Linked DNA regions of Lepisosteus oculatus. The protein of the gene in region 1 purifies or fractionates together with the protein of each later gene. This does not show direct contact. Links are inferred from orthologs where the notes say so. Each region holds a gene or a part of one and is shown in the gene's direction. Other genes may lie near its edges.

Evidence for each region.
Region 2: the proteins of dpf2 (region 1) and smarcd2 purify together in Homo sapiens (affinity purification with mass spectrometry; 6 studies listed by BioGRID and IntAct, counting the BioPlex papers as one, with this or other methods). This does not show direct contact. The link is inferred for Lepisosteus oculatus from reciprocal best matches to the Homo sapiens genes DPF2 and SMARCD2.
Region 3: the proteins of dpf2 (region 1) and bcl7a purify together in Homo sapiens (affinity purification with mass spectrometry; 3 studies listed by BioGRID and IntAct, counting the BioPlex papers as one, with this or other methods). This does not show direct contact. The link is inferred for Lepisosteus oculatus from reciprocal best matches to the Homo sapiens genes DPF2 and BCL7A.
Region 4: the proteins of dpf2 (region 1) and smarcd1 purify together in Homo sapiens (affinity purification with mass spectrometry; 9 studies listed by BioGRID and IntAct, counting the BioPlex papers as one, with this or other methods). This does not show direct contact. The link is inferred for Lepisosteus oculatus from reciprocal best matches to the Homo sapiens genes DPF2 and SMARCD1.

The regions. Positions count from the first base shown.
Region 1 is NC_090713.1:19,938,918-19,946,590, reverse strand, and holds the start of dpf2 (zinc finger protein ubi-d4), read left to right. Parts: upstream 1-4,657; 5' UTR 4,658-4,718; coding exon 4,719-4,750; intron 4,751-5,075; exon of another isoform or gene 5,076-5,595; intron 5,596-7,673. Other genes in the region: kcnk7 (potassium channel, subfamily K, member 7), read right to left, coding at 1,087-1,423. UniProt on the Homo sapiens protein: Plays an active role in transcriptional regulation by binding modified histones H3 and H4. Is a negative regulator of myeloid differentiation of hematopoietic progenitor cells. Might also have a role in the development and maturation of lymphoid cells.
Region 2 is NC_090723.1:2,688,319-2,695,835, reverse strand, and holds the start of smarcd2 (SWI/SNF-related matrix-associated actin-dependent regulator of chromatin subfamily D member 2), read left to right. Parts: upstream 1-4,511; 5' UTR 4,512-4,876; coding exon 4,877-5,029; intron 5,030-5,111; exon of another isoform or gene 5,112-5,779; coding exon of another isoform or gene 5,780-5,845; intron 5,846-5,879; exon of another isoform or gene 5,880-6,080; intron 6,081-7,517. UniProt on the Homo sapiens protein: Involved in transcriptional activation and repression of select genes by chromatin remodeling (alteration of DNA-nucleosome topology).
Region 3 is NC_090717.1:7,063,287-7,071,038, forward strand, and holds the start of bcl7a (B-cell CLL/lymphoma 7 protein family member A), read left to right. Parts: upstream 1-4,736; 5' UTR 4,737-4,974; coding exon 4,975-5,066; intron 5,067-7,752. Other genes in the region: cfap251 (cilia- and flagella-associated protein 251), read left to right, coding at 110-273, 704-794, 1,381-1,524, 2,256-2,484, 3,231-3,332, 3,880-4,025.
Region 4 is NC_090696.1:17,243,876-17,251,731, forward strand, and holds the start of smarcd1 (SWI/SNF-related matrix-associated actin-dependent regulator of chromatin subfamily D member 1), read left to right. Parts: upstream 1-4,855; 5' UTR 4,856-4,889; coding exon 4,890-5,075; intron 5,076-7,856. UniProt on the Homo sapiens protein: Involved in transcriptional activation and repression of select genes by chromatin remodeling (alteration of DNA-nucleosome topology).

The DNA.
Region 1 (7,673 bases):
AAAAAAAAATAATATTTTAAGCAAACATCCTCTTTGTATTACAGCAAACGAGGGCGCAGGTGCAGACCCAGAGCTGAATTCTGCAAGGTGTTCTTTCCCCCTTTCCTCGAAAGAAGCCAGGGGAGTTTGGTCCACACTCCTACCACCCTTAGCGTAGTGCTCCCCCCATCCTAATTGCTGCATCTCACCCAGCTGTAACTCGCAAGAAGGCTGTGGAGCTCGTTCCATCCTCCCACCACCCTTTGTGTACAGTGGTATTCTCCCCCCCCCCCCCCCCCCGCCGCCATCTTGACTGGAGCCATCCCCTCCAGCTGCGGCTTGGGAGGAGCCAGGGTACCGGCTTCCACCGCATGGCTAAGCGGCTTGTTCCACACCCCCGCCACCCTTTGTGTAAAGCAGGGTCTCCCCTCTCCTGATTGCAGGATCTCCTCCGAAACCCCCAAATCGCCCGTTTTCGTGAAAGATCAGGCGCGCTGGCCAATCGAGTTGGCAATTAAGCAAGAAGAAATGTTCAGATTCCACCCCCCCATCGGCATCACATAATGAGCCACCTGTCCGATTAATCATGGTAACTGCAAATGGCTCAAGATCTTTACAAATGGGGATCCCCAAGTTCTAAAACACCAGTTTTACTAGAGTACCAGAGCGCCTCGTTCTTATTTAAACCTCCACCTGTTTGAGACCAGACAGAACATCTAAGCTGCTGTACGGTCCATCCCTCCTGTCCTTTACAGGATAATTTGGGGGGGTTCCCACAGGGGACCCCCCCACATCTCCTGGTTTTCCTTCCCAGCTGAGCCCTCTCATTCCCACCCCCCAATCCCTCACGGAGCCGGTCCAATCGGAACCTTCTGCACATGTAGGGCGGTTTTTTTTTTTATCAGCTCCGAACTTGAAGATCTTGAGCGGTGCGACATTGAACCCCGCCAAGGCACCCAGGTGCCGTAAAGCGGTAACCTCCCCCAAAACCCACAGCGCGACAGCGTCGTAAAAGCCCAAACGGACGCTGGGCGCGACATAACAGACGCCACAAGGCCGAAGTCAAAACTGTAACCCTCCCACCACCACCACCACCTTCCCACCTACCCGTCGTCGTGAGAAACGCGGTCACGAAGAAGAGGGACGAGGTGAAGTCGGAGTTGCACTCCTCGCTTCTGTCGTCCAGCGCCGACACGCCGTGCTGGCCGGCCGAGACGACCTCCTCCAGCAGGGCATCCAGCGGGGCCTCCCGCAGGCAGCGGTGATCGTCTAGGAAGGCGGCCCGCACCTCCCGCAGTTCCCGGCGCAGGGCCACCTCGCCGGCCTGCTCCAGAGCCGCGAACACGGCCCCGCCCAGCAGGACGTACAGCACGTAGCCCAGCGCCAGCAGCCCGAACGCCCGCTCCCGGCACGACCTCCGGACCGACTCCCAGCCGGCCGCCATTCCGAAAGACCGGGGGCTCGGGACGGCGCTACATTAGTCCAACCGGGCGCTGAAATTGCATTGCGTCTTCTCCGACGCCAAACCCCCCGATAACCTCTGCGCTGCTGGCCTGAAATCCTATACCTTCCTTTCCTGTTGTTAAAAGTTTAATGCCCGAGCGCGTATAACGTTTCCCCTAGCTAGGCTTCAATTTCAGACCCTCAATCCTGCTTGTACGGACACAGGGAACGTCTTTCACGGCTATTAACGCCCAAATTGGCTCAGTGTCCTAGCCAGCACCTTCGCCTGTCTCATTTATCTTGTATCCACGAATCCAGGAACCCTCTCGCCCCACCCCACGCACTTAATAGGCACACTTGATTGCTTAACAAGCACAGTTCAAACAAGAGTACATAGAACGATTCAAGACACAAAGATCGTCAGGGGGGAGGGTACATATTACTCCATAAATTCAAGTTATTTGAAAAACAAATTGAAAATAACGTCCGCACCGCTTTCAGATTTTTGCACTTCAAAATAGTCTGCAAATACCCTCTCACTTCCATTGTAAAACGCTCAACCACAGGGTTCTTCCCAGACCACTTCATTGTATGGATGTAATAACGTGCCGTTCTAATAATTAAATGGATCACAAACGCAATTTTAAGATTGTTTTCGATGGGGCCGAACGTGAACATCTTTTTCATCACAACAAACATCGAGATTGGTCTCTTTTTTTTAAATATAATTCTGCAACTTAGTCCAGAAAATGTGTACCCTGGGACAAACAAGAGCTGAATAGTTTCAGGGCTGTTGTCACACACACACAAAAAAAAAACCACATTTGTCATCTAGATTAATTTGAAATCAATGGGTAACAAGAATCTTAACTGGGTGAATTATTTTGTATGAAACGCGACCACTTTTTCCTCAATAACCCCCCCTAACTCTACGGCTCCTCTTTCAAACCTAAATAAAATATTTTTTTTTTCACTCTGACTCGACGGGGTCTTATCGTAGCTTTTGGAAACGGCATCTCAGAACGAGTCGCGCAAGGTGCTCACGTCCTGTGGTCCATCTGGGAACCGGATACGGACACGCAGATCCGTTTACCTGCACACACAACCCCCGGACAAGTCTTCATTTTGACCCCCCTGATACGGCACGTTTAAAGAACCCGGTACTGGGGCAAAATCACACAGCGTACGAAGTCAAACCTCAGGTTTGAAAAGAATCTCACCCCCCCCATCTTCCACGCAAAGGAGTGTCTCTCCTTTCGCTGTGTGATTGAATTCTGCAGGGCTGTGGTGATAGTTTAACACGCCTTTCTCACCCCCACGCACGTCTGAGTAATATTTAACGCAACGTACAGGACCGACAGAAATGGTGTGCAAATATAGCTTGGACTGTGGCTCCCTCTAGCGGCTGAGCGGAGAGCCTAGTCAAGACCCTTGTCGTGCAGCGATTTCAAGTTAATATTAATAATTGCTTACACTTATATAGCGCTTTTCTGGACACTCTACTTAAAGCACTTTCCAGGTCATGGGGAGCCCCTCCACCCCCAGCAGTGTGTACCCCCACCTGGATGAGGCGCCAGTCCTCTCCCCACACCCCAGCTCTCAGTGGGGAGGAGAGCAGAGTGATGGAGCCAGTTCAGAGAGGGGGGTTATTAGGAGGCCATGATGGGTAAAGGCCAGGGGGGGAATTTGGCCAGGACTCCGGGGTAACACCCCTACTCTTCTCGAGAAACACCCTGGGGTTTTTAATGACCACAGAGAGTCAGGACCTCTGTTTGACGTCTCATCCAAAGGGCAGCGCACTATACTGGGGCATTAGTGAGCGCCCCCTGCTGGCCCCACTAACACCTCTTCCAGCAGCAGCCTCAGCTTTTCCCAGGAGTCTCCCCTCCAGGTCCTGGCCAGGCTCCCACCTGCTGAGTCTCCAGTGGGGCTGCCAGTGGGGAGCTGCAGGGCGATATGGCTGCTGGCCATTCCAAAATTAATATAGATGATAACTGTGTTCTTTTGTATTTTTTTTTCTTTTGTTTGTGATTTCTGTCTCTTGTACCTGTTTCTGATCCTCTGGTTGTAGTTGTATTTGTAAAATTCTTTATATGTTCAATAATTAAAAAAAAAGGTTTTAAAAAATGTTCTTTTGTGAAAGTAGCCCAACATTTATTTTTGGTTATGTCCTCTGGTAAAAACATTCTAGATTGATCTGCAAACGTATTTTGAAAAAAAAAGAGGCCAATATTGCTAGCATTTGGACAGACATAGATGTAATGTTAAATTTCAATTCCATTGCAAATAATACCAACAAAATCGATTGTGATTGACTTATTATACTGGCACGTTATTATATACACTTATATGCATAATGCAAGAAATTTTATATGGCCAGTAAAGTGATCTTTATCTTATCTTGTCAGCAGCCATATCACCCTGCAACTCACAACTGGCAGCCCCACTGGAGACTCAGCAGGTGGGAGCCTGGCCAGTACCTGGAGGGGAGACTCCTGGGAAAAACTAAGGTTGCTGCTGGAAGAGGTGTTAGTGGGGCCAGCAGGGGGCGCTCACCCTGCGGTCTGTGTGGGTCCTGATGCCCCAGTATAGTGACGGGGGACACTAGACTGTAAACAGGCGCCGTCCTTCGGGTGAGACGTCAAACCGAGGTCCTGACTCTCTGTGGTCATTAAAAACCCCAGGGTGTTTCTCGAGAAGAGTAGGGGTGTTACCCCGATGTCCTGGCCAAATTTCCCCCCTGGCCTTGACCCATCATGGCCTCCTAATAACCCCCTCTCTGAACTGGCTCCATCACTCTGCTCTCCTCCCCACTGAGAGCTGGGGTGTGGGGAGCGGACTGGCGCCTCACCCAGGTGGGGGTACACACTGGTGGTGGTGGAGGGGATCCCCATGACCTGTAAAGCGCTTTGAGTGGAGTGTCCAGAAAAGCGCTATAGAAGTGTAAGCAATTATTATTATTATTATTCTCAGCACACTTCTTAAAAAGTGAAGGTTAGTAAGTATGCTAGTTCGCTAACGTCACGAAGACGAAAAAGGCAGAAAAAACGACGAAACAGAAGAAGTGTAGTTGTATTAGTAAAATCTTTATACGTTTAATAAAAAAAATTTAAAAAGACGAAACGCAAGAAGCCGCTTTAGGCGGAACTCTGTGAGAGGCGCGCGCGCGCCGGCTGCTTCCGGCGCGGCCGCGTTCGGCCCCCCCCCGGCCACACGCGCGAGCTCGACGTGACCTCGGCGCGTCGTCTTCTGCGCAGGCGCGCGCTGCCGTCGTCCGAGACGGGAGGCGAACCAAGATGGCGGCCGTCGTGGAGAATGTAGTCAAACTGTGAGTGTTGTTGTTGTTGTTTTTTTTTCTCTCTCCCTCCCCTTCTCTCGCCTTCCAGCGCGTTCGCCGGAGCTGAGCGGGCGGGTGGCGAAGGGCTCGGGGTTCGGAGGAGAGAGGGGGCAGGGAGCTGGGAGAGAGGGGTTCAAGGGAGGGAGAAGCGACGTTGTGTGCAAGCCGGGCGGGCGAGAAGCCACGACGTCTCTCCGGTCGCGGCAGCCGAGGGCGCCGGGCGTGAGAGCGGACAACTGATTCATTGTTCGGCCGCCGCTCAAAACTTTTCTCCCGGCGGCAGCGCAACACTGGGGGGGGGGGGGGAGTTTTCACCTCTTATCAAGGGGGGTTTTCAGGGCAGCTACACAGAGCCCTGGGAGGTGGTTTCTGGTAGTTTTGGTCGCCGAATTGCCGGTCCGAGCCTGGATCCCCGTTGGTGCCGGGTCTCTGGTGCTGTATGAGCTCTCTCGTCCCGATCCAGCCGATCGATGGGACCGAGAGGCGCCGGTGCCTGCGGTTTTGTCCCAGCCGGTGTTGGCTGCGCCGTCCTCTTGTTGTATGTGTGTGTTTGTAACTCGATGCTCCGCGATCGTGATTCATCAACACGCTGTGTGTGTAAGAGAAGGGCTCCCACGGTTGGCTTTGCACCCCCCTCCCTCGCCCGGCGTGTAGCTTTGTTCCTCTGTACGATCTCCCAGCCGGTCGGCCAGATCCCTGCTCTCGATCCGCTCTTCAGAGAGCGGATCGCCCCGGCAGGGCCTGACGTTGGGCAGCGCAAGTAAATGTTGACAAAGTTCAAAGAGCCGGTTCAAAACTCGGCTACAACCAAGTCTCTCTCCCGCCGCACACTGCGGGTAGGTAAAACACGTGTTTTGAAGACGTTTTGTGGACACCCGGGCAGCGAAATTGCGGTCTGGGTGGTGGTGGGGGGAGTTTACAATTCGTGCAGATTCAAAATCGCAACATCTGTCATCTGGTCCTTTGTTATTTTTTTTTTAGAAAAACTCCATCCCTCCCGATTCACGTAGTAAAAAGCTCTCATCCTGGAAGAGAAGACGCCTGTAGCTCTTTCTACTGCAGGATAAGCTCCCGATCTCCAGCAGGCAGCTTTTCAATGTTGATCTTGAAGCGCATTGCAGCGCGATGTTGTTATTGAGTCGTGCTGCCTCGTATAATAACGCCTCTTTGTTTTAATATTGCTCTTCCGGGTGTCATCGGGTTTATTTCGCTTAAATGGGTTTGCAGATCGATGATACCTTCGCCCTGCGCTGTTGTGCCCCCCTGCCTGCCGGTGTAATTAACGATGGGATATCATTAACGGAGTTTCGTGAAGGTCGCCCGAGTTATCGCATGACGTCACTCGCACGATCTCGATCAGATCACTTTTTCAGCCCTATACAATGTCTTGCATTAGGAATGTGTCTTTTCTCAGACCCCAGCTTGCTCTCCAGGAGACACACAGACAGGGAGAGAGAAGCTGGGGGGTCAGAGCGCAGGGTCAGCCCCCCTGGAGCAGCTGGGGGTGAAGGGCCTTGCTCAGGGGCCCCAACGGAGTAGGATCCCTCTGCCGGCTGTGGGATTTGAACCTGCAACCTCCCAGCCACAGAGCCCCCACTCTGCCAATGGCACCACCTCTCTCTGTTTAGTCAAAGCTGTGGACTATCAACTCCTGTGTTTTGCTGTGTGCCAAATACACCGTGGGCAAATGAATATTTATCAGTCGAACTGATGTTGTCACTTAAACAGAAGCCTTCTGCCAGCACTTCGTATCTCGAATGCGTATGGATCTGAAGTCGTCCGCTGAATTTGGTTTTCATTTCAATCTGTTTTTATATAGCGCCTTTCCCAGCGATGGAAGATGCTTTGAGTTTCGAAACCGCAAGAGCGTTCGGCTCTGCTAACCCTCGGTTGTTTTCTTCTCCATGGGAGCCCCACGCCGCACGTTGAGGTGTTGCAACTGGAAACGTCACCTTTCTCGGAATTGGAATTGGGGAGGGGGTGGTTCCCTTCGGCTGTCCCGCTGCGGACTTCAGAGAAGAGCTGGTGGAGGGTGTGGGTGATACTCTTGTGAAACGCGGATTTCAAAATGGGACACCCTGAGCCCCGAGCAGGGCCGGGCGTCTGAAGGCCACAAGGGCTTTCGAGAAGGAAGACTTGTGTCATCTCCTTCCGTTAGTCATCGTGTGTGTGGGTGGGTGTGTGTGTGTGTGTACAGGACAGGAGTGCACGAGACCTGGTCAGGATTCTGGCTTAGAAATAGAAATGCGAATTTCTGTGTCATCTACAGTCTTTGGTTTAATACTGCACGCATTCAGTTGTCTTAAGCTGTGGCGATTTGCCTGAAACGGTTGTGTTTGAAAGCAGCTGTCTACCTAACAGATCTCGGACGCGCGCACGTCCTCTCCCGCGATTAAAATCTTATCCCCGTGTGACGGGAACACAAAAGTGGACCTTTGACCAAAAACAGGTTTATTTTCTTCCAGCATCGAGGAATGATAATATAGTTCGAAGGCCTTTAATACTTGACAGAAGCGTCCCGGGCTGCCAGAATTTGGCATGCCGGGAGAAATAATTTAAGTATTTTATGGCTGAAGTCACACCCCTGGTCTCTTTCAAGAAACAGCTGGGTGAGGTCTTGGCATCAACTAACTCTTAACTACGAACCGGACCAGAAGGGCCGACTGGATCTGCTCGATTCTGAAGCGTCCCAGTTCTCTCTCTCTCTCTCTCTCTCTCTCTCTCTCTCTCTCTCTCTCTCACTTTTCAAACGTTTGATGCTGACCGACGTCCTCGAAAATGGAAACCAATCTTACTGTCCCGCCATCTTCTCATTCAGGGCTGTGGGGGAGCAGGAGTCTATCCCAGCAAGCAGTAGACGCAAGGCAGGGTACGCCCTGGAAGGGACGCCAGTCCATCACAGGGCACACACACA
Region 2 (7,517 bases), on another chromosome or scaffold:
AACAAATGGACAGAAACAACAAAACTTCTTTGCCCTTGGAAATCATATCCGAGTTTCTCTGGGTTAATTTCTAAACAAATTTTCACTGCAGGGTGATCAACACTTGCATAACTACATTTAATTTTCTATTGTAAATTATATAAAAGAAATAATGTTACATTTTGTGAAAACCCAGATTACATTATTAATAAGCATCTTGTTATGAAAAGCTTTTCGTGGATTCTGAATGGATCAAATATTGCTTTTAACTCTGACAACAAATCTTTTTTGGGACTGTAAGTGTAGACTACTAATGATTTAATTCCCCTCTGATTGAAGAATCAAAAATGGGTGTGTTATCCTTGATCGTCTATATTGTACTCATTATTTTTCTGCTCTATGCCTTTAAGCTGGCTAGGCTTAAAACTGTAAGGACATTGCTTTAAATTTTCTAACAAAGCTGTCCTTGAAACTTTAGTCCTAGACATGCTGAGAATAGCAAATGTGCGTTAAGCCAAGGAACCAAAAACAAAAAGGTTGTCAAGGCTAAAAAAAACATGAATCAAAGAACTTAAGATACTGATGCATCACCAAAATAATTTTACATTCTAAATATGACTGCAGTAAATTCAAAAAGCCATAAGTTTAAGTGAGTGGATTACCAGGTACTGATAATACCAACTACACTGCAGTATAATTGAATGCTGCTGTAAAAATTGTTTTGCATTAGTGTTGGGCATTTGTGGGCTTGACTGTTAAAACAGCTCTTAAATAAGAAAAATAAGCTTGATACGTCTGCTGGTTGGCAGTTAGGCTTGATACAAATGCTTCAGTGAAGAGTGACATTAGATTTCTGAATTGCGGAAATAATGTTTCTGAGGAAATGTGAAAGGTGAATTATGTTACAAATAAAATCTTGCAAGCTCACAATTCCACACCACCCATCTTTACTGACCTTGTGCTGTACCCAAGCGGCACTGTGGTGTTAGGAAAGCAACCTCAGTGGGAAATCAATTTTAAATACAGACTAAAAATGTTCATTCTGAAGTGTTTGTTTTTCCATTTAAAATCAAATCTGAAAGGAAAGAACACCTTTTTAGAAAATATTTGTCCCCCTCTACTGGCCATTCATATTAAATGACAAAACAATCTCAACTACTTCCAGAGGGATAATTTCATTTTTAATTCAGGGTCTGATGGTAAGAAACCATTGATCGCCTGCTAACATTGCATTTTTAACCATTACTGATTCCCCTTACAAGAAATATACAGTACGAGCCAATGCTGATGATTTTATTTAGTTAATATACTGGCCATTATATGAAGATTTAGAAATGGTGACTATTCAATAATAATTTGATGACTATTTTATTTGTAGGCTGGTGAGTGTGAAGATTTAAAGATACTCATAAAACTTGTTCTACAGCCACCCTCGTGAACTGATGTTATGAGATAATATCACAGATGCTTATATGGAGGATTAAAGGGAACATAAATGCAAGGAGCTATTTTATTGGTGTGACATTGGATTACATTCGACTTACAGCTGGCAATCAGAGAAAGCTGCCACATCAGTGAAGCTAGTTGAGATTGTGAAAGACTTGGGAAAAGGCTATCGATCTGATTTTCAGCTTTTGCCAGAAGAATACTTGTCATGCTGATGCCTCCTAAGAAGGCAGCCAGCTGGGATTCACTGTTTGTAAACGCATTTTTCCTTTTTACCCCCACTTTTATTTACATTTATTTTTGCTATTTTTTGAGGAAGCAGTTATGGTTTATTGACCAGCTCTAGGTCCTATAGGTGATTGGTTACCTTATGCGTCTGGACAGTTGGCTTTTTGCTCAAGACCATTCTATGACAATTCACTGTTCAATAAACCCACTCTGATCCATTTAATTAATTGATGTCATGTTTTAAATATTTCAGTAGCTCAAAGAGAAAATTTGCATTGCAAATGGCATTCTGTTTAGATTGGGAAAAAAAAGAATATTTACTCATATTATGCAAAATAACATACCATCCAACAAAAAGGTAACATTTCAATTTGTACAACAAAAGATTCCTTTCTAAAAACATATTTAATGTTGTTCTTATACAATACAAAGAACTGATCTTTAAAAACAAATAGGTTTTGGGACAATTTTCATATGACAATTCCTGCAGGAATATTTTTGTAACAGCTTTTGCATGTTTTGTTTTGGGGTCATTAAATCACTGAGGAAAAACAGGTCTTGGAAGTGTCTAGATAAGACTATTCTTTGGGATATTATTAGTTAAAATTCATCTTGCTGTATAATCTATTCAGTTTATAAGTAAATATTTACACTCGAGTGGACAACCCAACTCTTACAATAAATTATCATTCTACATGGTTAAACACTTGGAGACCAGCAGAATAATATTTTGTTAGAAAACATTGGCTAATTGGATTTATTATAATTTTTCTTGGGGCAGATATATACAGTATGTTAATTAACAAAGATGATTTAAGCCTGCAAAGGTAACTAATATTGCCTGCTTCATTTTTATGTAATCAATGCTTCCAATTCTTTTTTTTACAAAAAGGGCACAGGCAAATAATGAATGCTATGGTACATTGTTTTACAAACAGGTTTTAATACTTATGTAAATTAAACTTTCACAATATTTTTAATCCATTGAGAAACACGCCAGAGAGTGAAACTGTAGGTGTGCCTGTTATATAAGACTTTATTACAGCTTTCTTTACTTTTACATTTCTTAGAATCCTTCCTCATGTGTTCTACATCACAATATTGCACAGCCTTACAATAGAAATATTGAAGCTTCCAAAGAGATGATACAAATGTGTTAAAGGTAAATAGAACAGGCATAAACACATTGCTCAAACAGGGCCTAATTTATACAGTGATGAAGAAGATCCATATTTTTAACACAGAGAAAACTCGACACATTTTAATGGTTGTTAACTGTAATAGGACATGGTTCTTTGAAATGTTTTTGAATAATACAGCTTTCTTTAACTCTTTTCTTATTGAAGTTGTATCTATCATCACAGAGACTTATGCAAAACTTTTGGATTTCCTTTGCTGCTGACAAATATGTCAGCCATCCTTTTTTTAATATGCATGTGACATTGACAAAATATAACTTATATGTAAAAGACTGGCTGTTGCTTATCTGTTCCCAATATACACAACAACTTATAGAATGTACAGTGGTTGTATTTATCAATTCCTGGCAAGCCAGGAATCGGATCCTGCTTGTTTTAAATAACCTTAGCAGCAGAGGTCAATAAATCTCTTTTTCTGCTTCCCCAAGCAATAGCTTAGTGGGAAGATTTTGCTGAAACTAAACATGCGGAGTGTGAATAGTACTGAATATCAAATGGGCACGGAATGGTCAATACATTGGAAGACAACACAGGATGTTTATGGTGCAGATTGCAAGTCATAAGTTTGAATTAACTGTAATGAACTGTAAAATTAAAAACAAATTGTATAAATCCTATAATATGTCATTGTCATATTAGGCAGATATAGCATGTTTATAGAAACAGAAAGTCACTTCTTCCTGGATAGTATCACAGCAACCCAACGGCTATCTTGGGAAAGCAAGGTGCAGGGAGAATAATCCCCAGAAGAGACTGCACTTTGACACAGGGACTTGTCCTGTGGATGGGTGCTGCTTCAATGTGCGAACTGTCCTAGAGTCAGAGGCTGGGTAAGTCCCTTCTTCCAGAGTGACGGCAGTTTGCAGTTACCTCACTCCATTCATCACGGTTAACCTAATGTTTCATATCAAAACCCAGAATGAATGAATCATTGTACATTGATGTACTGTAAAAGGGTGGCATGATAGTCAACGCTACCACCTCATTTGATTTCGGAGTGCAATACCTTCTGCGTGGTGATTACATGGCTCACACCTTGGTCAAGACAATATGACATCCTAGCTTTTGGAAAAAGTGCCGTGACATCTTTTAATGTGTGTCGTTTTCACAGTGGGCCCTGGTTTTACCTGGCTTTCTATTTCTAATACGGAAGCAGACAAGAAATCTCCCAAGCACAACGAAATCTTGTCTGTAAGGAGCATTCAGCCTGAGTAGTGGACTGTAGGTACTGTATCCTGCATTGGGCCATGAATCCATCGACTGTCTCTATCATTAGGTGAGAAAGCCTTGATAGAACAAAAAAGCTGTTTTATTCTATTAATTTTGACTTGGTCTTTTATTTGCTCTTACAGTTACGGTTTCAGGTCTTCGCAATGAATTATGAAGACAACAGCTGAGCAAGCAAACCAGAAGATCAAAATGGACTAAACGGATGCTCTATTGCAAATTTTAAAAGATGGCTTACATATCTTGTTTTTGTAGCTACTTGTACTACTGATCGTTATAAAAAACGATTTCCACAACATTCCACTAATCGCAAACCGGGCAAACTACCCCGGCGGTATACACGCAGCTCTAACCGGAACTAAACAGCAGAGGGCGCCATATAGAATTCTTTCTGCACTGCAAACCACGGAGTAGGAGGAGGCTGCGTGTTATTACAGACACACGCAGCCAAACCCTGTCTGATCGCTATCTTTAGACATTGGTCAGGCTCTTAAATTCTTTTTGTGTGCCAACCATTTAAAATAAATAGGGGGCTTGAACAAAGCCTTAGATTCATGGGAAATGATGACACCGACAATACAACCAACGTTGAGTTGCTCAAGAGGGGAGTGAGTGAGTTTATGAAAAATACCCAGGAACTAGTGTAGGGTTAAAAAAAAGATAGACGTTTAACTGCATCCAATTTGTTTTTGTTCGTATTTATGTTGTTAAGAAAAGTTTGCCGCTTTCAAGGGTTGTAGTAATCGCCGATCTTTGTTTTTTCTTTTAAAAAAAACTAAAGCTAAATTTGCTTTAACATGACTTCAAGAGGTGTGTACCCAATGAATACAGGTAGCCCACTGAACCCTAATATTAACCCTATGAATTCGGGGGGTGTCAGAATGGTTCCTTCAATGCAACAGAACAGCGGATTCCGGGCCATGGGCTCAGCTGCTTCCCCGTACCATCAGGTAACTGCGGTTTGTTCTTCTCTGCGCCTAGTGCGTAGACCAGTTTATCGGGTAAAAAAAGTTTATACTGTAATTTAAATTATTCGATTGATTTCCGGTCTCTGTCATTAGGTTAATCGGTATGATCTATGGTAGCGGGAGCTTACAGTACGTTGCTTTAACGCGGTGTGTCCTGTGTATGTTACTTTTTTTGTTGTTTGTTTTGTTGGTTTGTGTTATTAATAATCAGTCAATTTAAACAAGTCGGGTGTTCCCGTGAAAACTAGAAAAACAACAACAACAATGAGCTGGTGTAAGTGAATTAATACAATGTACTTTGCAGAATTGAGCTGAAACGCGGTTAAAGCACAACTTTATCCGTGTTTCTACATTAGACCTCACTGGACAAAAAAAAAAAAGACAGAAACGTTTGTATGATCAGCATGGCACTAGAGAACTGGAGTGCATGGAAACGACACGACTACATCAATAACGTTTTTTAAAGGAGGCATCAAGTGAGAATTGTTCCGTTTTGTCATTTTTTGCAAAGGCCCGAAAAACACAAAACCAGAGTGCTAGGTTGATAAAGTCCTCACTTCCGCATTTATGAAGGATCGCTGCCTGAATGTGTGTGAGAGAAGACAAATATGCCGTTATGTTGCGTGTGCGTGTGTGTGTGTGACCGAATAAAACACCGAGAGCACCGAAACACCAGAGCATAGCAGTAAAAGAGTACGTTAAGTTGTCCCGGAAAGGGATATTCGTTAGGACATGTTAACTTTAACGCTTAAAGAGGAACCGAAACCAGTCCCACATGACATAGCCTGTCCTCATGTGGTTTGTATTTTCTGTTGCGAGGGAGAGCGAGCGCTGTCTTCGTGACTTGACACTTCTTAACTCCCCTCTCTCGTTTCTTTCTGGTTACATTCGCGTTTGCACTGATACCTCTTCGGTTGCTACATGGAAGGTATCCGCTGAAGACAGGACAGTTCAGAAATGGGAAAGCCGAGGGGGAAGGGGGAGGAAAGTCGGTGCAGGATAGTAATCTGTCAAAACTAGCTGGGTTTCTACGGTATGTCAGTGCCTGCTGTGAGTCCGCGTTCTGCTCTCAGTACTTCTAAAACTTACAGTTCAGTAATTGCATCTGCCTCCGTGCTTTCATTTGGGGGAGGGCGAATCCTGAGTGAAACTGCTGTTTTGGGAAGGAGAACTTCAAGTCGTACAGTGTTCGCACGGAGCAGAACACAAACGTTTCCATTTCTGCCCAGCTACTCAGCATCCGATAAACGTGCTGGGCTCTAATAAGAAATGTCAGACGCAGATGCGTCTTTTTGCAGGAAATCCTGTCTCGATCGCTAATATCATATCTCGGCATCTCTTGCACGATCGAATCGCTAGAAGACGAGAAAAAAAAACAATCTTGAATGAAGCTGAAGACATTGCAAAGCGTTGTACTGTATTTTCGCATTTATATGTGATACAAAATATCTTTCCGTGGCGATATATAGCACAGTTATTGTAATCCCTCCCAGAAGAGCATTAGGAAAGTATTTTTACCAAATTAAAAACAGGAAACTGCCATTTTAATTATTTAAAATAGTTCATGCATTGAAGTGCGCTGACACGTGGACAAATGTGTCAGAGCACTTGAGGTTTCTTAAAGCAAGAAAAGCGCTCAAAGAAGAAATTAATGAAAAATGAATCTGTCCCATATCTACCTGTTCAGAACTTTCTCAACGAACATTTTCAAATTACCCCGTTCATTACCTATTAACTCATGTACAAATCTTTTATTGTACTCTTAGCAGTGTGGCAATTAAAGGTAATTAAAACAGGCCAAATATAAAGTTGGTATTCTGTAAGAAGTTAATATTTAAATCCCACACACCTTGCAAAGCAGAGCTAGACTAGTTTGCTAAATCAGATTTCAGAAGTGTAATACTGCTCTTATCATTGATCATGGAAAAAGTGTAAGAAGTATTTGATCAAGTATGATTAATTTAATAGAGTCAAACAAGGCAGCTAAGGGGAGTTTAACTGCAGGTGAAAGGATATTATTCATTTATGCGGAATTTGTTTTGTGTGCAATAACACATATTTTTTTGGTAAATACCAAATATTTTATTTTTGTAATTTAGTACTTGATACTGTTGAAAACAAGCATGAATGTACTGTAACTTCAAAATTGATCCACACAAACTGAGATCTGATCATTTTAATACAATTTGAGAAATTATTTTACAGAATTGTTCCAAATGTTTAATAGTGAGTAGGACCAACTAAAATGTATTTATGCGATAATTTCTATAAGTTCTAAACCCAAATAAGATCCCCTGATATTTTGAAGAACAATATGTTTCTCCCTTTTCAGTATACATGTGGGTTTACACACATAGTATCATTCTTTTAATAAACAGTTAAACTCCGGTAAGATGCAAACCAGTGGTTAATATATGCAGGAAATTTGCATAAAGAGCCATTATCAGATTTCTTACAGTGGCAATACTGT
Region 3 (7,752 bases), on another chromosome or scaffold:
TTATTAAGAAGTAGCCACAGACTCAGTATGCAAAACCATGCAGCACTGTGCGTGACTGTATTATAAATAACTTATTGTTTGTTAAAGGGTCTTGCTGTGATGTTCACAGGTTGGCCTGCAGATCTTGCCATTAGATGGAAATCCCCATAAATCTTCTGCCCTCATCTGTCACCCACTGGGTGTCTCTAGCTTTGCATGCTCCTGTGATGGCCAGCGAATTTTCACTGCAGGGGGCAGTGATCGCACAGTGTTCACCTGGGAAATCAACCTGAAGTGAGTTCATCAGTCTATTGTAGTCAAATAATAAAGAAGCCTATTGTTTAATTTTAATTTCTAAGCACGTACTGTATACATGCCTCCCATAGCCATTCTGCTGCATTCCACAGATTTGTGCTCAGCATTACTAACATTTACCTTCAAGGCAAGCAATTCCAGAGCAAATGGACTGGGAGCAAGTACCTTTCTCCATTTTCAAAGAGAAGTACTGTAATTGCAATTGAATGCAAAATGTTGTCTACGTTTTTACTTCTAACTGCATTGCAAAATGACCCTGACTTCTGCCTGTTGCTGCTCTCAAAGCATTCTAACACAAGCTGACTCTGAATGCCTGCTAGTGTTCCTCAATTCCCTGTAGAGGCCATGCTGTCTATCGATCTCGTGTTTAGGCTTTGTGAGTGATTTTCCTTCTCTCGCATTGTGGTAGTGCTCTCGAGGCAGCAGCGTCTCTTGGAGGACAGGACCTCATTCCCTTTTACAGTGTTCTTGAAGGTGGGAGAGATGGGGAGCTTTTTAGGGTGAGGAGATTTATTAAACCCCACTTTCTAATATATTTAACAAATGAACTGCATGCCATATGGAATCTAACAAAAATAGTAGTTAAACTGTAACAAATTAACACTGAAGGTGCTAAAACCAAAATGGCTTCTTCTGAAATACAGCAGACGTTATCATCCATGTCTGAATGTATGAAAGGAGTCGATAATACACAAGCAAATCATTAGTTGTACCTTGTCTGTTTTGCTGTATTATCAATGCATGAAGAACTTCCTGTGCAGGCACATAGAACTTCAATGTGTACTACAGTGGTGCTGAATGCAGTATAGGCAGTATAATAAAATTCACAGTAATGCTTTGAAAAGTGTCATCTTTTTACACACAACAGGCTCAGTTAGACACCTTCTAGCAAATATCTGTTCTCATTTTCTTATGCGATCAAATCACTCATCTAATTCTTGTGCTATGAAGTGCATGAGTTGGCTTTTATTTTACCTAGACAGAAAGATGAAGCTGTTGTTTTAATTTTATAGACGCGCTTCATTTAAGTTCATTGTTAGACACAACATGGGAGCTACAGTACTGTTTTTTGTTTTGTCCATCTAGGAACTGGAAGACTATTTTTACTATTGCCAGCTGCGCAATCAAGGAATTGACACCATGGAGACCCGACAGGTGTCTACAAGAATCCCCCTGGCAGAGATCCCTTTTGTCATGCGGGCATTGGGATTCTACCCCTCTGAGCAGGAGGCAGGTTCAGATAAGTCCACTCACTGAAGGCTGAAATAATAACAAAGATCATCTTTGCAAATCATGAGCTACAGATGGTTCTGTGCTCTGAGTATCTTGAACATCGGAAACAATTCTCAGAGAAGGGTTTCAGTCTGGAGATTTGCAGAGATGCTGGCAGTCAGATCTGTATTAAAGGTTTCTTTCTTCCTGTTTTTCATTCTGTTTCTCTGTCTGCTTTCTGAGCTTTTTACATTCACTGAAGAAATGTAATGTAGCTTTAATTTGAATGATTCAGTCATTTATAGTTTCACCTGTCTAAAGAAATGCTTATTAGTTTTATACTTGCCTGACTTGATGCCATTTTGTGTTGCACTAAATCTCTCATTTTGCACCACGTCTGAGCTGAACAAAACACTCTTTATGCTCTTAACCTATTCTATCTATAGGCCATATGTGCTTAGTATCCCTTATTATATTTAATATTATTAATAATAAATTAGTCTTGATTACTATAAACTGATCACTATTGTCATAATAAAGGTTGCAAACAGGAGAAAGGCTTTTGGTCCATCTAACTTGTTTGATTGCTAATAACGTATCAATCCCAGATTCATGCCCAGCCTTTTCTTGAAAGGAGCCAGGATATCAGCTTGGCATAGACGTTTCTTCTAGACTCCTGTACACTTTTGTGTAAAGAAACACTGTCTGCTGTCTGTTCGAAATATACCTCTCTTCCCTTATTTTCACAGCTTGAAGATATGCTGAATGAGGTCAAATTCAGCCAGTATGTAGATACAGGAAAGTATGTGACCGACATTGATTTGGCAGATTTTATAAAACTGTATGTAAACCATCGCCCAGCATTTGGGATATCTATGAATGAACTGAGGCACGCTTTTCAAGTTCTGGGTTATGAAAATGAGAATGGGGAGAGAACACTGAACAGGGGAGAGCTACTGCAGCTGCTGCAGGCCAGAGGTATGTTAGACTGCTTCCAGTCCAAAGTAACAAAGCATCTTTTAAAGTTGCTGCTTTCATCTGACAGATCAATTGGAAAAATGTCACACATGCTCTGGGTATGATTATAGACAGCTTGTCCATTTGTTACCTTCAGTGTCTGAGGGGACATATTATTCCAATATTGACAGAGTGACATCAGGATTTGTTAGAATACAACAGATTGGACCTTAATTCTCAGACATTAGCAGACTGTTCCCACATGTTCTGTGCTGTATTTTCATCATTAGAGCAAACAACAGAAACAAAATCTGGGGAGCTGCAGGCGGGCCTGCACTTTATACAGGAGCTCACATGAAGAGCAGCACTTTTCCCTATTTCTTGTAATATACACACATGATATTAATGAATTAAAAATCCTTTAAATTAAAAAAGGCAGGCATTTTGTGGCTTTTTGTCATTTTTAATTTTGGATCTTTCATACTTTTTTCATACCCAGCCACTTGGTATCATCAGTCCTTAATCAGCTCAGCTGCACTTTCACAACCCTTGAGCTGTGACATTTATAGTATATAAAACTTAAAATATTAAAACATGCATTTGTTTTTAACTCTTATTTCTCTCAGTCTCCTGTATTATGCTTGATTTATGATGTCATAATAAGGATTAGGACGTCATTCGGATGGCTGAAGGTCCTTGAAATAATCAGAATGAGACGTTTACATGGGGATGTGAAACACGTTATGGAATGTTTTTTTTTTTCCTAGGTGAGCACATGACTGAAGAGGAGCTAGCCGAGTACTTCTCCACCTTGATGGGGCTAAATCCTGAAGGGGGGAGGTTGGAACTGGGAAGCTTTGATTCTACAGGTATGTACAGTACTAAATTACTTGGTCTTCTGCAGTGACTTGTCCCAGAGTGACAAGACTATAATGCAGTGCAAAAGATGTAGATCACAAAATGTTACTGAGTATGGCTTACCAGACTCTCTTAAGTAGTTAATGGTAATAATGGATGAAATAATAATGGTGAAAATCATATGACATTCTTCAGGCCAGATTTCCTCCCCTGGCCTTTACCAGTCATGGCCTCCTAATAATCTATGAAATGGCTTAATCACTCTGTTCTGCTCCTCCATGATAGCTGATGTGTGGTGAGTATATTGGTATTCTTTGGCTGCTGTTGCATCATCCAGGTGGGGCTGCACACTGGTGATGGTGGAGGGGATCCCCATTACCTGTAAAGCACTTTGAGTGGAGTGTCCAGAAAAGCCCTATATAAGTGTAGGGAATTATTAAGGATTTACTCTATTGATTATATGTATTCCTGTAACATTGAACAGTGATGGGCATATTGTTGAGTTCATGTGAAGAAACCACTTTTAACTTTTTTTATTTTATTGGGTTGAATTGACAGGTTCGGAGTCTCTGCTGGAAAGTGTGATTCCTGAAGAAATCACGATAGACACCTTGACATCTGACATACTGGGTTTTCCAGTTTTTGTCCAGGAAACTGCATCTTCTGAAGAGGGTCAGACAGACCGAGAGTCTGTGTTGTCCTAGGCTGTGATGCTTCCCACCACTCGTCGATGGAGCTGCCAACCTGTGTGTTATGAAGTTGCTTTCACCTTCAACACTTTGTCAGTAAAATTAGGATTTTTTTTTGCTCTCTTTAGTATTTGAACATTTTTACAGTTACAAAAGAAGAAGCTGGAGTGGCTTACCGCAGATTCTAAATCTTAACTTTTGTTTTAAATAAAATATTTTACCTAGATATTTATTGATGTGTTATTATTATTTATATTGATTTATATAATATGTATAGTTTAAAGGTTGAAATGACTGCACTAATTTTGAAACGATAAATGTCCGCAAAATAACTTTTAAAAAATATATATCTGACTATGTATTGGATTTTATTCTTCTGGGCAATTTCTTTGTATTAAGAATACTTTGGTTTGCTATGAAAATGCGTTTAAATATCACATAATGAAAAAACAATATGATGAAACACAATGAAAGCTGTTCCATGCCTCTCATCCAAACATAGAAACAAATAATTTCTAAAATATATAATATACGTCTTAAAAGACACTGAAACGTCTTGGACGAGTGCATTGTGCGGGAAAAAAAAGAAAACCCGTAAAACAATTTAACCGAAACAAAACCCGTTCGAGTCTTTTTTTTTTTAGACTGTTTTTCTTTCCCATCTGGAATGTTGCGTTGAAACAGGAAGTACGTCTGCAACTTTCAGCATCGTGTGTGTCAACTCGAGAAGTTTTCGCGAAACTTTCTTTGTGAACAATGTAACTTTGAAGCCTTTGTTGCTTCTGTCTACATTGTTGTAGCTCGGAGTTGTGTGACAAAGCTCCAGCCTGGCTTTGCCATGCAGCTGTAGGCTCTGTGCTCTCTTGGCGCAGGCGCGCTCCCTCCTCACAAAGCTCTACATTGAGTGTATGCATTGTGTCTGAACTGCCGGCGAGCTTTAAAAAATATTATACCAACAGCAGCAATGTCGGGCAGGTCGGTCCGCGCAGAGACCAGGAGCAGAGCGAAAGATGACATCAAGCGTGTTATGGCCGCTATTGAGAAAGTACGAAAATGGTAAGAGGAGAAAAAAAAAGCCACGGTTCATTATCTAAGAGCAGAAAGCCCAGCTTGTTGGGGGGGGGAGGAGGAGGAGAGAAGAGAGGGAGAAGAAAGAATGAAATGAACGAGAAGGGTCATCTTGAACTGAAATCGCTCGGATCGTGCTGTTGGCACAGGTGTGCTCAAGCGCTCCTGCGCTTCGTGCCAGCCGCCGGACCGATCGCAAAAGCGAAGGTTTGAGCAATTTTTAAATGGATTTTTCCATTAAGAATTAATGTGGGTTGAACCCAGAAGCCATTTCGTTGCAGTCACATGAAGCCTTTGCTGTCTTCTGCCTGCTGTAATGCCGGGTGAAGGGATCTTTGTGTGGCGCGGAGTGTTCCGGGACACTGGCGCGCACAAATCATAACAATAATCTCCAGTTTGTAACTATACTATGACGACGGCGCTCTAGAGTCAGAATAGTTTTTATTCGGTCTCGGGGTTTAAATTTAGCGCTTAGAGTCGCTCTTTAGAGCAAACAGATGTAGCGTGCAGTGGGGGCTGGGAGTAGGAAGTAGTGCATGGCTGATCACGCAAATATGTTAGACTTTTTAAAAATAAAAAAGCACATTGAAGCGAACGAACAACACATTACTTTTACAGTTGTGAAATATCGGTCTGTGTTTTGAAATCCGAAGATAAGGTACACTTTCATGCAATATTGTTTTAAGAAGGATTTACGTAACAAAACAGTCGTCGTTTTTCTACTAGGGCATCGTAGGTCGATTTAAGAAAATATATAAAAAACATCCTTGGAGGGCTAAAAATCTGTTGTAATGGAAATAAAAACGGAATCCCGGGAACTGTTTTTTACGGTTTAATGTATTTTAAGGATAAACTCACGATTTGGATATATTTCCCTCGACATTGCAGAAGATTGCTCGTTCTAAAGTCAACTTTTTCCCACATTTTTGGAATGATATTTCTGTAAAAATTTCTAACTCTTACAATACGATGACCGCCTCTTTGAATTTATGTGGGGTTATTTCAAATTGCGTATCGGGACGTAGGAAGTATAACGGTAAAGATGAGAATCCTATATAATTTGTAAATATATGTTAAGGGAAAAGGGACTCTCGCATCAACACAGCACCAAGGTTAATCCCGTCTAACTGCTGGTTAGATTAAAGGTTCCAAGTCTATGGAAATTGGGACCTAATTAGAGGCAAGCTAGTGACCAAGTAATTAAAATGGGGAAAACAGTACATGCACGGACACGCAGAAACGGGTTTAGCAGGGGAAATTAAGATCCAGTTTGATCGGATAAACTCTATATTTTTAGAGAAGGGGACGTTTCTCTTTACGCTAACTAGGCATTTACAGTGCTCCAAATTTTCTCTGCAAACTGCTGTGCTTCTCACCCTGCATTTTCGCGTGACAACGACCATGAGAGTAACAATAGGAGGCTTGCTTATCTCATCGATGCAACAATTACACATTAAAGCCGAAGATGCTTTTCACATCCAAGTGGACCAAATCCGGTCCGTCTCGAAGGTCAGAGGCGCACAAAGAGCGCTCTCGGGGATGACGCTCGTCTTTGGCCGTCTCCAATCCGCGAGTCTCTGGACTTTGTTGCCTGTCTGTCCCATGGGTTAAATTTTGTCATGGGTACCACGCAGCGCTATCTCGCACAGCTATAGCCAGGAACTCTTTTGTGTGAGATTCCGCAGTGCCAGAGCTGGATTTCTGCCCAGTGGTTCACAATCGAGCAGAATTAAGCATCTTCTGTGTCTAGACTGTTTGTTTGGCATGGCAGGCGCTGTCTCAGCTCTCCACGGGTTTAGAGGGGGTGGTGTCTGGTGGGTCAGGATGTCTTTGAGTCTCCTTTTGCACGAAGAGCCCTTAATGATGGTTGAACCCCCTGGTATTTTCATCTTTAATCATAAATCCGGCGACTGTAGGCCAAAACCACATTATGTGTTAGCATTTTTTATTGTTAAACGCAAGCACAGAAAATATGCTTTAAAGAATAGGTTACTTTATTTTCCCAGAGCAATTGAAGTGGATATCAGTGTAGGTTTAGAATAGCTTTATAACATTATGAGGTTTCTGTTCACATGAATGCAAAATTAAAATGGTTAACTTTTAAAAGTAGGTTTCCAGTAGTGGAGCAAACATTCAGAATTTGTCCTCTAAACAATAATTTAGCAGTCAACACATGATTTTCAGTTAGAAAACACTATTATATATTACTTGCATGCGAATCTTGGTACAGTTTTGTAGAACCGGGCTATGTGTTGTGTAATCAAGCTGAATAAGTAAAACCAGACATTTTGAATGTTAAAAGTAGTATTTGGGGTAAAGGTCATACCCGTTAAACAGAAAATGTGAAAGAAAATCTTGTTCCGGCAAGCTTTTGTATAATTGTACAATATTAGGTGAGGTTCTCACCCAAGAGCCTACAAAGGTTTGTAGACAAGAAGAGGCCAAGCTCAGCTGTCTGCTAGTAGCTACCTGATTCATGCATCTTGTCCAGCTTTTCCTTGAAAGATGCCAGTAAATCAGCATCAACAACCCATCTGGGCACACTGTTCCTGACACCCGCCCCTCTTTTTGCAAAGTATTGCTTTCTGTTCTTGGTCCTAAGGGCCCTGCCTTGTAAGAACATAAAGGGAAAAGAAGCCCAGTGTGCTTAAAAATGTCTCCACTTTTCGAGACA
Region 4 (7,856 bases), on another chromosome or scaffold:
CGTTCCATGTGGGCGCCCTGGGGGTAGAGTGGCGAGCGGAACATGAGGACTGCCAGGTTGGCAGGGCGCCCCAAGGGAAATGGCCATCAGGCTGTGCCAGCTGCGGGAAAAAGGGAGGGATGACCTATCCCAGGGCGTTTCTCGAAAAGAGTAGGGGTGTAACCCCGGCGTCCTGGCCAAATTTCCCATTGGCCCTTACCAATCATGGCCTCCTAATAATCCCCATCTATGAATTGGCTACATTACTCTGCTCTCCTCCCCACTGATAGCTGGTGTGTGGTGAGCGTTCTGGCGCACTATGGCTGCCGTCGCATCATCCAGGTGGGGCTGCACACTGGTGGTGGTGGAGGGGAGTCCTCATTACCTGTAAAGCGCTTTGAGTGGAGTGTCCAGAAAACCGCTATATAAGTGTAAGCAATTATTATTATTATTATTATTACCTTTCAGTGCCCATCTCCAGGCTTCACTATAGAGGGACAAATCGTGTTACAGCTGTTTGCTGAAGCAGGGCACTGGTACCAACACGAGAAACCACCAGAGTGCTTCTGTCAGATCAACCCCACCCACACAAGAGCCTTCAGATCCATACGGCACTGTGCAGTTCGCCCATGGAGTGTTTTCCAAAGAGCAGCATTGTTTTACTGTAAATTGTCAGAGGCACCCGGCCTTATCGGCACAAAAACAGCAGAAAAGACTGCGTCTGGGAGTGCTGCTGACAACGCTGCGTGAGTTATGAGCGAGGCACTTCGAGAGCCGCCATCGAGTGTCACCCGTCAGTTTTAACACTGTTAGCGCCTCCCGGTGAAATGTCAGACGGAACAGGAGTGAACTGAGAAAGCGTTTTCTTTAATATTTTCTTACTGCTTTCAGTTACCTTCAAGACAGTCCCGCTGGGACAATGGTTTCACTTTTCCATCTGACATCCCTGTTTCTATGGGGGCGGGGGTGTAGGGGCACACAGCCAGACATGTGTGGTGATTTAATGTGATCTAGCCTGTATTCTGCAAGCCGAACCACTCTTCAGATCTTGCCCCAGCTGCGTGAGAGAGGAAAAGAGAGAGTAAGGAGGAGACAAATGGTGTTCTTTAGAGGACGTAGATTTTAGTCATGGGGGGGGGTAACTGTGGAAGGGCCCTCTTCCAAGATTGAACCACGAAATGCTCCCATCTTAAGAAGCTTGGCTAATGGGAAGGACAAGAGTTTCCAGCTTCAAATTAATTTGTGTCTCCTCGCCTGCCTTCCTTCCTGGTGACAGCATGTGAGCAGATATCAGCCCGCAAAGGCAGGGGAGATAAGGAGCGGGGGTGTTGGGGTGGGGAGGGACTTCAGACAGAGCCTCCTCCTCCTCCGTGATGAATCTCGGAGCAGGAAAATCTTGGTTGTAGAGAAAGTGATTAATTGCACCGTTTTCAAGCTGTTTCCTAGGAAGTACAACAGTAAAATGAGCCCTGTCATCCATCACAGAAATCCTGTTCTGTGTAAGTCTTTATTTGCTCCTGACATTTGTAGAGGCCCTATGTGATGTTCTATAGCACCCTATCCCAGGCATAGGAGAGTCACTGCATTTTCTTATAAAAAGAATCGGCAGCGTTCGCTTTCCTACATAGAAGACTTAATATTCCATCCACCCATTTTCTAACCACTTCTTCCCATCAAGGTACAGGGTTGGGGGATGGAGCCTATCCTAGCATACAAGAAGCACAAGCAGAACACACCCTGGAGGGGACACACTCACAAAGCCCAAACGCATGCAGACTCCTCACAGATAGCACCCCAGGTCCAGAATTCAGCTCAGAGCCCCAGAGAAGCAGCAACATTAACCACAGTGCCACTGTGCCACCCAATCAAAGTATTAAACCCCTTGAATATTATGTATTTCCTCTTAACTGGGATATTGGATTCAGTGTCCTTCTGCTACCCTGTGCAACACAGAGTCAAGGACCCCTTAAGTGAAATATATAAAATGTTCTTGCTTTGTTTTGTGCAACTGGGCCAGCAACTGCTGCAAATATCCTTCACTGTGGATTCACTGGGGACCATGTGTCTGTCTTTTCACAGCAAACCTTGACATCTGACATGGCAGGTCTCAGGCTCTGAAATCCACAGGGCCTGTTTGTGTATCCTTCAGAATTGTTTTCTCACAGGAATGATAGGATTGTGTCAGCAGAGCTGCAGGGACTTTTTCAAAAGCTGCTGTGTTCCAACAACATAAACCCAATTGGCCCTCATGTTTAAAAAAAGGATTTAGTCATCCATATCATCTGCAACATGTGCTGTTATAGGAGATTGTAATGAAGGATGGGACAACATTTCATCTCTCTATCTCTGAAGGGCTCCGACTTACTGCAGACTTCTAAAGACACCTATCATTTTAACAAAAACAGGGACCTTTTCTGGAAAAAAAAAACTTCAGTAATATAATACAGGACTTTAGCTTGTGCACCACAAACGCGAGCAAACACAATTCCATTAGCCTGTGGCCCAGCTACAAGTATTATTCAATTAGCTCGATGTGATTAGTGTATTAAATCGGAGATGAACTTTTCAGAAAGCTAGACAGGAGCACAGAGCAGCCAAGGAAGCACGCCAGAGATCAAGGAATCAATAAGCCGAAAGGGGAAGTTTGTTTGTGAGTGGGGGGGGGTTCTGATTGACATTGGCTGAGACAGACAGACTGACAGGCTGAATGCAAAGGAGATCGACATTCTGACATTCTGAGTGAAAAAGGCAGATGCCACGTCCTCGCAGCTGGGTAATTAACACTGTGCCTTAAAAAAAATCATACAAACGTAGTTTTAGATTTTCTTATGCAATTTAAAAACATTGCAGTATGCCCATTTGAGACCGTCACATAGAGGGGACATCCTGGTTGTGGGTGTATCCTAAACCCCCGATTCCAGAATGCATTTCCCATCTGGAGGAACGCGCAAATGCCGTTCGGCTGTGTGTGATGCAAATCGGACAGGGAGGAACAATGTCATCTTTTCCGTGAGCGGGGCTACTCATCTGCTCCCTGGCCCAGCTGGCAAGCTCACAGAGCAGACCGGTACTCTCCCGCAGATCGATCTGCGAACTTCGCTTCTCCGTTCCCCCACCTGTCACGATTGAGTTCTCCTAGCAGTGGGACCTTTGACCGGCGAGGCAGGAGAGGTGGGCCGGGTTGCTGAACAGATAGTGGTTAGCAGAGAGCATCTCCTCTCCTGACGGCTCCGACATTGCCCCTCTCCCGTCTGCACTTAAATTGGCTCTGACAAACGCGATGAGGTATGAGGTCACCCTTGTTAGGACTGACAGAAAGCACTTCTTCAGGATGAAGAGGAAAAGGGAGGCGTGGAGGACATGTCAGCTGTGATGCATTGTTTCAGGATAATTATCCTCCTAGGATGAGAGAATGTTCTTTTTTTCCCCGACATCTGCCGGTGAAGACGGCTCTCAACGTGTTAGAAGGATGCCCAATTCTGCTCTGCATGAGGCTAATGGGAGGCAAGCAACCAAGTGAAACTTCGCAGCCCCTGCAAATGGGCTGTCGGAGGAAGAGAAGCTCAGCACTCGTCGTCTGCTTGGCTCTGTAAAGCCGTTCTGTTACGTAGGACTGTGAAATCAAACAGTAAAGCTGTTCATCCGTGCACAGAAATACCATGGTTGCTGATCCAACTCTTCAAATACGTTTCGCTTTGTACAGATAGGAATATCAAGTCCACAATCTACTTTTTAACCAATCAGTCCCTAATGGTAATGTGAATATTAAATGTGATTTAATATATTATTAAAGTAACCTATAATGTACTGTACATTATATAGAGTGTAAATATTATTAAAGTAATATAGTTTAGGTTTTATTATAGTAAGCAGCCATGGATAGCTGTTTATACCATCAGTGTGGTATAGCTATATGTTGACTTGTGAAGTGGGCGTTTATATGCTGCTTACAAGGAACACATAATTCCCTTAAGACATGCTTTTTCTAAAACAAAACATGCATAACACAAAAGGTGTTCTTCCTAAGGTGTGTGTATAGTCTTGTCAGTTTCATAATTCATTCTGTTTCATAGCTGTATTTACCAATGAGAATCTGGTTACAGTGCAGAAGATTAGTTTGTGCCAAGTGACCTCATTCAGACTGAAGTTAATCCAGTGAATGTCACTTGATTGATGCACACAAGACCAAAATGCTAGCAAATAATAGTTATATCAAGATATTCACCATGGGAGGCTGGTGTTTAAATAATCGTGTCAGATCATAAATATTTGTATCAGTCCATCTATCTTCATTTACTGCTTTACATAAGAATATAAGGATTACAGACCTATTCTTCCACTGAGGAAAATGAAGAGCAGCGACATCTGCTGGTTACTATCTCGAGCACTTTTTATAGCCAGTAAAACTGAACCGGCGACGCAGAAATGTTTGAGAAGTTTGGGAAGTTAAGCGCATTGATTAGATTGAAGACGCAATTGTGATGGTTTACAGTAATATTCCAATGTGAAAATCGCAAGATGTATATTTTGATGTTTGTCTATATGGAAAACTATATTCGGCACGGGAATCTACGAGCCAGAAAGTTGCTTGCAAAAGCAAAATAATAAAACAATTAAAAACTACACTGAATTTACACGAGTTCTGATTTTGATTCTCGTACGATACATAAACATTGCGCACGTTCCATATTAGTCATTTCATTGAAACCATAATTATTCATATTAAAGACAAATTAGGAAATAAACGTTGCTTTCACGTCCTTCAGCAATATGGCTTCGATCAAGTTCAGCGTGTGCTCAGAGCCGTGTGAATAATTGCTGCTTCTTCAGTTTCTATGACAACCAGTGAGCAAAATCTCGTACAGCCCCTCTCGCGATATCCTCTTCACCACGGGCTCAGCGGGGAGAAGATGGCGGCTCGCGGTGGCTTCCAAGCGGCGGCAGCAGGAGGCGGCGGTGGAGGGCTGGGTCCAGGGCAGCCGGGACCGGGTGCTGGGCCGGGAATGGGACCGGGGACTCCCTCGGGCCGGATGGGTCCTTCCTCGGCAGCACAGAACCACCTTTACCGCTCCCCAATGCCAGGGCCCGGATACCCGGTAAGGAGGGGGAGGCGGTAACGTCAGGGGAACAAAGGGAGCCGGGAAAGACGGAGAAGCGAGGGAGGGGGTTGTGTGTGGATTAGGACCAGCGAACGTCTTTATATTTTATCAGGTGCTCAAACTGAACTACCCGGGTATACCGGTTAGAGAGAGGCGGTAGAATAGAAGTCGGCAAGGAGAAAACTTCGGATGAATATCTGTTTTTCTTAGTTCTGTGCTTGTGTGCTGTGTTGCTAAACCGCCGTTGAGAGAAACGGCTCATTTACCACCTTATGTGCCGTAGGAGGTGAGGGTGGGGATAAGGTTTGCTGATTTCCCGGTACAGCGTGCCCAGGTGATACACATGCATTGTCCAGCTGTACTGTAGGGATGTCCTCTGCATTGCAATATCCAGGAAAGTGACGCTGAAGATGCTGAACGCACTCCGTTTCTATCTTTCCAGGCTTCTTTCTGATAAAGCACAATTATGAGCTGTACAGCTGTGTGGCCGAAGTTGCGGGTGTATATATTTTTGCAGCTGTAGTTCATTCTCTCTCACCCTTTCCCTCTTGTTTCCCTTGTTGATGAGGGATGCGGTTCACAGTATTCCCCGGTCAGAGCAAGGCTTAGGCCCGGCATAATTAAGACGGGGTGGGTGGGGGGAAATGTGTGACTAATTATCGTGGAGGTGGTCGTATTTCTCACAGATGGTGGGGAAGCAGAACTGAAAAGGCTTTTCGGGGTCTTCTTGCTGGAGAAAACGAAGATACTGAACTTTCTAAGTTTGCAACTGGCGATCAGAATAAGCAATAGCCACGACGACTGATTTGCTGCAAATTAAATTTAGCGCCTCAGCCTCCCCTACAGTTGAAATAAGGTATCGAAGTAGGGCTGATGTGTGTTGAATTAATGTAGTTCTCGCTATTCATGAAGGGCTGAAGTTTTTAAAGTTAGGTGTGAATATTTGAAGGAATCCCACGTTTGCTAAATTATGATGTTAAAATACGAACAGCGTGTACTTTTAACCTCGGTAGCAATATAATATTTGAATCCCTTTATGATGATTTCCGTGGCACAGCAGCATCAGATGGTATGAGACCCATGTCAGAATTTACGAGCTGCAGTTTTCTTTCCAAAAGGCAAAGCCATATTTGGGTTTGTTCAAGCTGGGACAATTATTCTGAATGAGTTTGCCTTCACAGACGTGTGAAGATAAAAATCTTAAATACATGTAGGGTCTGACCAGCAGTCTGCTGCTTGAAATATCGTGCCAATACCCTGTGCTGTGCACACTGCCTTTGGTTTTCCTGAAGTTTTGTTTTTTGTCTTTGCATGTGCATTGCAAAAAGGCCACGTTGGCAAACCCCACACCTCCCTTAGAGGAGGCAGTCTTCTTCTAAAAGAGGGTTTGTCAATACTGACCATCTACGTTAGACCTGTTGAGTGACAGAAGAACAGAATTAAAGGGTGTCCTTTGGATCTTAGGTTAGCTCATCAGAAGGGTGACTGGGATCTTCATTCTGGATGACTAGGTGAAGATTGAATGTCACGTGTTGCCAGTGTGGGTGGGCCAGGTGTGGAGTAATGTGTTCGTGTTTGGTACCAGTTAGAATTCTCTCTGTGCTGATGTCATTGATGGGTTTGTTAGGGGGGGGCTCAGTAATGGCAGGAGGAGCAACACAGAAAATCACTGGAGTTCATAACAAAAGTTTAGGAGATGGGACGGTACCGGAACTGAATCAATTTAAGCTGCCTGTAATCACTCTTTATGTAATTTCCTCACCTAAAACATTATAAATGCTATACGTGATCCCCTTCTCTCCCTCACATGTCTCCTGCATCCCTCTGCATCTGCCCTTAGGTCACTCCTCACTCCACGGAGGGGTCTCGGCCTCCTTGTCCTGTGGTCAGGAGGGTAGCCCTCAGACAAGCCGGGCCAAGCCAGATTTACTGTGACTAAAACACTCAATAAACCTTTCAATATACTTAATTCTTGGGTGTTGTTGCTCCTAGTGAATTCTGCCAACTGTAATTGGTTGGACTCTGCGGCACTGAGCTCTCTGAGCTTGTGGCAGAAGGTGACTTTGCTCACCTGGGATCTCAGACGCTGCAGAATTCGCTGCCCGGAGAACATCCGGTTTTCTGGTGTCGTAGAGTTTGCCACCGTGCAAGCTCATCGCTTATGAGCTTCTGTCCCAGAATCGTGGTGGGGGAAGAGCAGGGCTGGACCTCTCACGCTGGTCAATAAACCCAGGGCTGTAAGGCTGTGTTCTGGGCTTTTTGGTAAAGAGACCTAGATGACAGCAGTCCTCTCTGGAAGCAGAAACTGCCCTTAGCAAAGCAATTCCTAACTTAGATCTTTATGGTGCACAAAAGGGGAACGAGAGATTGCTGCCAGTGAAGTGTTGGGTCTACGCAAAAACCTGTGGGGCTGCAGGATACACTCCATTTTTCTCTTGGTTCCACCTGCCATTATCTTCAGATCCGACATTTTGGCACATGCCCGCACCTCAAGGTGGTCTGGTCATTCTGATATACCTGGGAGAGAGCTGGAGTGCTTGGAAGAACAAAGATGTGCTTCTTTGATGGGACTAGTGCAGTTTAAGCAGAACTTTTTGTCGACGTGGGAATTATTCACCACAGAAGCGAATTCAGTTAAATCCCTTCGGCTCACTGCGTTGTTTCTTTGGTTCACGGTCAAATACTGTTAGCAATCATGTTGTTGCGTTTCAGGTCTTATAGCATCTTCTGCCTTTTGTAAGCGCGTAAATGGCGCCACTGAAAGGATGTTCTGTTCTC